Linked DNA regions of Canis lupus familiaris. The protein of the gene in region 1 purifies or fractionates together with the protein of each later gene. This does not show direct contact. Links are inferred from orthologs where the notes say so. Each region holds a gene or a part of one and is shown on either strand. Other genes may lie near its edges. The genes, in order: CDK15 and FKBP5.

Region 1 (4,481 bases):
TATTTCATATTCTTAATTCCTAAGATAGTCTATGGAATTCAATTAACAATATATTTAAAATGATACTTTATAGTTTCAACATGTATAAATAATAACATGATTGCTAGTATAAATAATACATAGCCTTGCAATATTTATATTACATTTTTTAAATAAACATTTAAACACCGCTGAGGGACACCTGGGTAGCTCAGTGATTGAGTGTCTGCCTTCAGCACAGGTTGTGATCCCAGGGTCCTGGGACCAATCCTCTTATCAGGCTCCCTGAGAGGAGCCTGCCTCTCCCTCTGCCTATGTCTCTGCCTCTCTCTGTGTGTCTCTCATGAATAAAATAAATAAAATCTTAAAAAAAGAAATAAACACTATTGAGACATTATTTTTTTCCACTGGAGTAACATAAATTAAAGAAATCAGACCTCTGACTTTCCCACCTTGACTAAAAAGCAATGAAGTTTGTGGATCTTTCACATATGTTTAGCAAATTTCGTTAGCCAAAATGGGCACCTGGCTTCTGGATTAGCATTATTTTTATCCTCCAGCCATCTTGTATATTTTGCAAGTGTACACATCCCAGGACTAATCATTTTTTGCATATATCCTACATTGTAGAAGCCAACTTTGGTTTCTTCCAAGAAGGTAAAAAAAGGAATGAAGGAGCAAACTCAGGGTTGCCATTACAACCTTCGGCCATTGTGTTTTAGAGAGAAATATGAAAAACCCTTTAGAGATTGCATTTGTGAAGAGTGGTGCTTGTTCTTTGGGTCAGTTGTAGAAAAATTATACTTTGAATTCAATAAAGGAGAGGAAAAGCTGATAAACATCTCAGGGGGCTGATTTTAATTAGGGCAAGAGAAATTTATTTTTCTTGCAAGGCTATTTAAATCATCTCGTCTCTTTGTGTTGACCATAGTATCTTGCACAGGTCCTGAACTTCTGCCGTGTGTCACCTGGCTCTATAATTTTAAATCAAAGGGGGTGGGATCCTCATCTGCAGAGTTTTTCCCAGCTATGAGTCACGTACCTGCTAATCCCCTTGTAAACTGTAGCATAAGAACCTTCACCCAGCTTCTCCAAGTTCAGGTAAGATGAGGCTGCCCCAAAAGGGAGGCTCTTCTTCTGCTTGAGGGGTTTGGGGAGGGGTGAGAGATGGGAGAGAGAGAAAGAACACTTTTCTTTTTTAAGGTGACTTTTATCCCCCAGAGAAATTAGACATTATTGCCAGAGTATACCTGGGAAGGCCCTCTTAGTAACTGCCCTGGAAGTAAGGGCCAACATCCCCAGACAAGTACATATTAAATTCTTCTTCATCCACATCAGCTGTTCACTCACCCACTGAAAACCCTGCCTCAGATCCTCTTCCTGAAAAGAATCACTGTTACTCCGTGGCCTTTTACTCTTGCACTTCCGGGCATGCACAGCCTGAAGTCCCTTGGGGTGAAATGAAGTCATGGAACATGATGCTTCTTTTAGGTCTGTTAGCTAAAGAAAAAGGAAAGTACATGAATAAAATTTATGCAAAGTCAAGACTCAGTGGCTAGCATAAACTGTTTTTTTCTTCATTTGTCTGATTGTCACTCTTCAGATGTTTTTCTAAGCCTCCTACACCCCCCAAAAGCAAGTCCTTTCTTGAAAGCCAGATCCTTAAAAAAGACCATAATGATATCAACTGCAGAAACTCTACATTCTTTCTTCACTTAAAAATACGTCTTAAACACTTCAGTTAATTTAAATCTCTTTGATGGATGGTTTCCAATTTTTCTGTTAGCTCAGCCTTTTTTTTTTTCTTCTCATGTCCTCTTAATTTATCTTTTTTGGGGAATCATCAAGATTTTGAATCCATAGCATACCAATACTGCAGCCTGCTTTCTGAGGCTCAGCTCTGTAATACAGTACTTGAGAGATTACAAGAGAATAATTACTTTCTCAACTTTAAGTCAGCGGAGTTTTGTGCGGCCCAAAGCATCTGATTATTTTTCCCTTTTGGTTTACAAGAACATCCCCAAATTTGATAACAACAGCCATAAATTCTCTGTGACTTTAATAGGATTTTCCTTTTATGGGTTTAGACCTACCGCAGAAAAATCTGACCCTGCTTCAGAAAGGGAGTGTCTGAACTCCTTAGTTTCTCAGCAGAGGGAGAGGCTCCTCCTGCGATGCAAATACCTGGATCGCAGCCTCCGCCGCCGGCCCAGGCTCCGGCACCGTCCCCCGGCCGCTGTGCGCATCGCCTCCCTCCCCGCAGCGGTGGCAGCTGCAGCCAGGCCGGGCAGTCCTTGTACACAGCTCCTGACCCATAATCTTCTAGGTTCAAGGAGAAAACCCGCGCTGGAACCTCTCCCCTCTGCCTCTCCTGTCCTCCTCCACTCCCTCTCTGCCAGAGGTCAGCACCGCTGGAGCTTTCATATGACTCACATGAGGGCTCTGAGCAGAGCAGCCTCATGACTTCAGCAGTTTTTCCTGATCCGTGCAAGAAACTACATCGGAGAGGTGGCCGCCTGCATTCTTATGTGCACAACTGGAAGCAGGACAGCTCATATTGGATGGGATCGATGTTGGCACAAAGTTCTTATTCCAGGCACAGGGTAGTGCCCTTGCCAGACAGGGCTTTTATGAGTTCACACTGCCTAACCATGTCAATGATAATGATAGTCATTAGGCTTCCCTAGAGCTGGAGTGGACGCTTCAGTATTTTCTCCCTGCCTTTCATCTGAAAGCATTTTTTCTTCTCAGACTTTACATTTGCAATCTAGCCAACTTTTTAGTAGTCAAAGAAACCACAGAATCATAGAACGGGAAGATATCTTCATCTCTTTGTCTCCAAGCAAGTGTGCAGTATCTAACAGTCCCAGAGCAATAGTCCTTGGTTCCTTGATTCAAAAAAGATGTAGTGAGCACCTGTGTTTTTACTACACAGGTAATGATGTTACCCAATGGTGAGAGAGGGGTTTGCATGAAATATCTTTTCTTTCTCTCTTCCTCTCACTCTCCCGTTCCTTCCTGCCACATCAATATAATTAATGTTTACCGTAGGGATAGCATGACATGTCAAGGAACTAGCTTGAGCTACTTTGCAGTCTTTGAGCAGAACCTTTTCTCTCATACATTCCTAATATTATTGCCACTATAATGTACTAATCAGAGTGAGACAGAATGTCGGATACACACATACACAAACACGTACAATCAATATCATTAAGGGAAAAATTTAATCATGTCTATTACTACAACAATATTTATGTACATTTGATATCTGAACCTCAAGAGTTTAAAAAAAAAACCTTTCAGGGAATTTAATGATGAGTAGGTATTGAAGTTTTATTTCGAAATTGCCATAAGAGAAGAGATGTAAAACAGGCCAATTTAAAGATTCATTTAAAATAGAGACATTTAGGGATGCCTGTGTGGCTCAGCAGTTGGCTCTGGGTGTGATCCTGGAGCCCTGGGATTGAGTCCCATGTCCGGCTCCCTGCAAGGAGCCTGCTTCTCCCTCTGCCTATGTCTCTGCCTCTCTGTGTCTCTGTGTCTCCCATGAATAAATAAAATAAAAAATAATAATAAGTTAGAGACATTTAGTAAAAAAAAAAAGAAGTGACCAGTTAACTAATACAAAAAAAATTATTTGGTTAAAAACTATTTAACTTTTGACCAACAATCTATGGAAAGTGAAATAAGTTAATTTCCTGGAATATTTAATTCTATTAGAATTTATCATAATTTGATATAATACATTTTATGAGAAATGCTGACTTTTGCCTAAAAGGAAGTTGTGAATTGTATCATACAAAACCCAGATCAGATCTGAGACAGTTTTACTTTATCACCCTCTAATTATCATAAGTTTTAGATTTTTTAAATGGCTAGCATTTTTATTTGCTGGGAGGTTATTCATCTAAGTTACAAGTTGCTTAAAGAGAATAGCCTAATGTTTTTAAGGTTTAAAACACTATGTTTAGATACTAGATGGGCTAGTCAGGGAAATTGTGAAATACCCTTCAGAATTTTCAAAATAAAATAATTTATTGTCCGGTGAAAGTCAAGGAAAAATATTATGTGACTTCTTGAGATATTTTCTAGCTCTATGCCCAAAACAAATTTTTTTTTATCAAATATTCCCAAGTAAGGACAGAAGATTCAGATGATTTCATTTTTTTCTCCAAATTTTTATTTAAATTCCAGTTAGTTAACATGTAGTGTTATATTGGTTTCTGATGTAGAATTTAGTGATTTATCGCTTACATATGACATGCAGTGCTCATCACAAGTGGATTTCATCTTGTATTGTGAATCAGACCCAGTTTATACACAACTCCTGGTTGGCTGGACCTACCTCAACTTCATGGCTGAAGAAGCCTACTATGCTGTGTTGAAGTGTGACCATTGTTACTGCTACCTCCCCTGTCACCAAAAGCCCCCACACATAAGGGTGACTGACAAGGAGAGACCCTCATGCCTGGCCACCAGCCTGCCAGGGCCAGGTAACA
Region 2 (3,819 bases), on another chromosome or scaffold:
CACCATTAGGCAAATACTACAGTTATAACCGTTGCATACAAAAGTCATCCATGGGGAAAAAAAATCATTCATGGATGCTAAAATCACTGTTAAGGTGTAATGTAAAAGAAGATCTTGGGATCATCCATCTCCTAGTAGTTCTCTCCCAATGAGATACTTAGAAAGGCAAAAATAGGAAATTTTACAAAGCAGAACTTGGCAGATCCCACCTTAACCAAGGGACCCAAGTTACATCATCACTATCACATGTCTCCTGATAATGATTGAACTGAGAAAGGCACACTATTGCTTATATGATATTTTTCCAAAAAATGTGTAACTTCAATCTAATCAGACAAACCCAAACTGAAGTATATTTTATAACCAGACGGTTGTCTTCAAAAGTGCTAAAATAATGAAAATCACAGAAAGACTGATCCAACTGTCTCAGACTGGAGAGACTACATATCACAGTAGATCCTGAATCTGACCATGGACCAGAAAAAGGACATCAGTGTGGGAACTGATGAAACTCACCTAAGATCTGTAGAACAGTTAATAGTATTGCTCCTTGTTAATTTCCTGATTTTGATAAATGTACTGTGGTGAGGGATGATGTGAACATTAGGAAAAGCTTGAAGCATATAAGAAAATTCTCTGTACTAGTTTCACAGTTTGTAAGTTGAAAATTATTTTAAAACAGAAAGTTGAAAATAAAGATTCCCACTGAAAATACTACTAAAAGCAAGATCTGATTTAATTTAGCCTGCCCCAAAGTTAACTCTGCAGTGGTAGCTTTGCGGCATTGTTTATAACTGGGAAAAGTTTTTCCTTTTAATTTGGTTACCAAAATCCTCCAGTTTAGAAATATACATTATAAACTGTTGAATCTGAGGAGTAACTGTAACATAGGGAAAAATCTCCATTTTTGTATATGCCTGAAATTTTTCATTAAAAAATTAAAATGTGTAGTATAGATAATCTTTTCACGTACTTGCTAAAGATAATTTTCTATCATCCTTGTGACTTTCATAAACATTTAGAATTCTATCATGGAATGCTCAGTGCTAGCAGGACCTACAGGATCACTGTAAAGAAAGGAAGCTAAAGCCCAGAGACTCAAGGGTTAGTTAGAGTCCGCTGAAGCCAGAATCCTCTCTCTGACTACTGGTCTATGTATTTCTCTAACATCTGAGCTCCTCTTCGTTTATTCTAAAACTTACCATGAATGATAGCTACCTAAACATTTCAACTGCAATAATATAGTAATACTATTTATAATTGTTTCCACCTAAATGAATAACTCCATTTGAACTAATCTTCCAGACTCCCCAAAATGAAACACGGGTCTCAAATAATAAATACTACAGTAAAGATAAGAAAATCAACCATTCTAGCTTACTGTTCCAAAGGAACTCTAACTTATTTTTATTTTTTTTTAAGATTTTATTTGAGAGCAAGAGAGAGAGAGAGTGAACATGAACAGGGGGAAGGGTAGAAGGAGAGGGAGAAGGAGACTCTCCACTGAGCAGAGAGCCTGATATGGGGCTCAATCCCAGGACCCCAGGATCATGACCTGAGCTGAAAGCAGATGCTCAACTGACTGAGCCACCCAGGCACCCTGGACTCTATTTTAAATAGGCCTTTTATAATAGTTCATATTGCCACCCTTGTTTAGTGCTTTGATTGTTTTCTTAGTGGAAATATTTCTGTTTTCTCACAACTCTCCTTTTTAAAGTATTTCAGCTTTATGAAGCAAATGAATGGCATCTTTCAAACATCTATCCACGCAGAAAGCATCTACCGAACACCAAATGCATGTAAGGCCCTGTAGGTGATGCTGGAAACAAAAAGATGAAGAAAGATTCTGGTCCTCAAGGTGCATACTGGGGAAATGGGTAAACACTGATTACAGCATAAAGTGGCAAGTGATGTACATAATGGTATACAGAACAGGCTCTGGGAGGAACAAAGAGTGACTGGGTATCCCAGTCCTCGACAGTATCTCCTTATTCCCAACACAGCAAATAAAAACACAGAATAGCTTTAAGTCATCCAGTAAATGGCAAAGCAACCTGAACCCAGATTTCCTACACAGAATAGAATGAACACTATTATCAATTATGATCTAACTAAAATAAACTTTTTGACCTTGAGGAAAGCCAGTGAGATGGGTTTGAGAGCTCTGAATGGCATTATAATCTAACTGCTCTGTTTAGAACTCTGTACTCTGTGCAATTTATATAACTTTCCTGAACTCATTTTCCTCATCTGGAGATAATAAATTTTATCTCGTAAGGTTATTTTAAGAAATAAATGAATAAATATGTAAGGCAGCTAATATAGTTGCTGGCACACCAAGGAGTCCATAATAGACTTGGGACTTGATGGATAAGATTACCTTTTCCTCACCTTCTGGGTCTGCAGAAGCTCGCACAGTACCTGGCATGGGCATGCTAGATAAATATTTACCAAATAAAGTCAGTATTAAATAAATGTTGAATTTAAAACTATTCTCGGGCTATATTCAATTGTTTATTGCTATAAATAGATTTTTAGAAAGAAACCTCCCTTTTCTCCCTATAAATGGAACCCAATTTTTAAGGACCAGTTCACTGTCACAGCGATACTTACTTTCTACTGTTGCTCCTTCATTTGGGTTTGAATATCCTTCTCCTTTCTGTTTGATTCTTCGGATAATGCCTCCATCTTCAAATAAATCTTCTCCTTTGAAATCAAGGAGCTCAATCTAGAAAGGAAAAAAAGGATTTGGCTGAGAAAAAACCAAACAGAGCCAATTTAACATACTTAAAAACAAGGGCAACCAATTCTCCTTTCATTTTACAAAATAAAACTCTTTTATATTTATCTATGTATCTCAGTTATTGGAAAAGTAGGAAAAAAAGAACACTGCACTTTCAATACCTGGAAAGAGCCTTCATGTAATGATAATGTCTAGGACTGCATCCTGTGGGACTGCAGTGCAAAGACAGACAGGAAACACTAGGAGGGCTGCCTTGTGGGCAAAAAGCCAGAGCTCCAAGGTGCTGGCCCAGAACTATTTTGTCGGACTCTAAAGGCCACCACCTTTCCAGCCCAGATTCATGGAATTCCCTTTTTAAATGTAAAAATAAATCCTATGAATCAGGCTTATGGACAACTAAAGGTGTTTTTTTTTACCTAATTATGATGTTTCAGGCATTTCCTCCCTTCATTTTTTAAGTCAGATCTTGACAAATATATATATAATTCAATACAGGATGAATAACATTATCACCACCTACAGCTTCTAATGAAGAAGTGAGATCTGTGACAAACAGTAAGCCTGTATAACATGAAAATATCTTACAATGTGGTTTCAGTACATTTCAACACTTACCTCCCACATTTCCAACCTGTTTTCTGGTCAATTTTGGGTATGTTATACTCACACCACTGACCAGAACCTTTATTTCTCAAGCCTGGTGTCTTTTGTTTATTTGGATATAACTTTTCTGTGCCAGAAACACGTTTCTAAGAAAGCATTGGCACACACCCCTTGGGTTTGTGGGAAACAATTCAAGAAGCCAAGCTCCAAAATAAATAAGTCGGATCTGATCCTCAATAGCAAGCTTAGCTCCTTGTTCCACTGCCTGTTGCTTCAGAGCCAGCACTATAGTAGAACAGATGCTAAAAAGGCAACATCACACACATACTTACCTCAAAAAAGAGAGTTGCATTCGAGGGAATTTTAGGGAGACTGCCAGCAGAGCCATATGCATATTCTGGTTTGCACAGTAAATGGCAGATCTCTCCTTTTTTCATGGTGGCCACCCCAATGTCCCATGCCTTGATAACCTG

What was found.
Region 2: the proteins of CDK15 (region 1) and FKBP5 purify together in Homo sapiens (affinity purification with mass spectrometry; 3 studies listed by BioGRID and IntAct, counting the BioPlex papers as one, with this or other methods). This does not show direct contact. The link is inferred for Canis lupus familiaris from reciprocal best matches to the Homo sapiens genes CDK15 and FKBP5.

The regions. Positions count from the first base shown.
Region 1 is NC_049258.1:10,705,148-10,709,628, reverse strand, and holds the start of CDK15 (cyclin-dependent kinase 15), read right to left. Parts: upstream 2,828-4,481; 5' UTR 2,296-2,827; coding exon 2,164-2,295; exon of another isoform or gene 2,073-2,163; intron 1,480-2,072; coding exon 1,330-1,479; intron 1,120-1,329; coding exon 1,022-1,119; intron 1-1,021. UniProt on the Homo sapiens protein: Serine/threonine-protein kinase that acts like an antiapoptotic protein that counters TRAIL/TNFSF10-induced apoptosis by inducing phosphorylation of BIRC5 at 'Thr-34'.
Region 2 is NC_049233.1:4,937,932-4,941,750, forward strand, and holds part of FKBP5 (peptidyl-prolyl cis-trans isomerase FKBP5), read right to left. Parts: coding exon 3,679-3,819; intron 2,729-3,678; coding exon 2,614-2,728; intron 1-2,613. UniProt on the Homo sapiens protein: Immunophilin protein with PPIase and co-chaperone activities. Component of unligated steroid receptors heterocomplexes through interaction with heat-shock protein 90 (HSP90).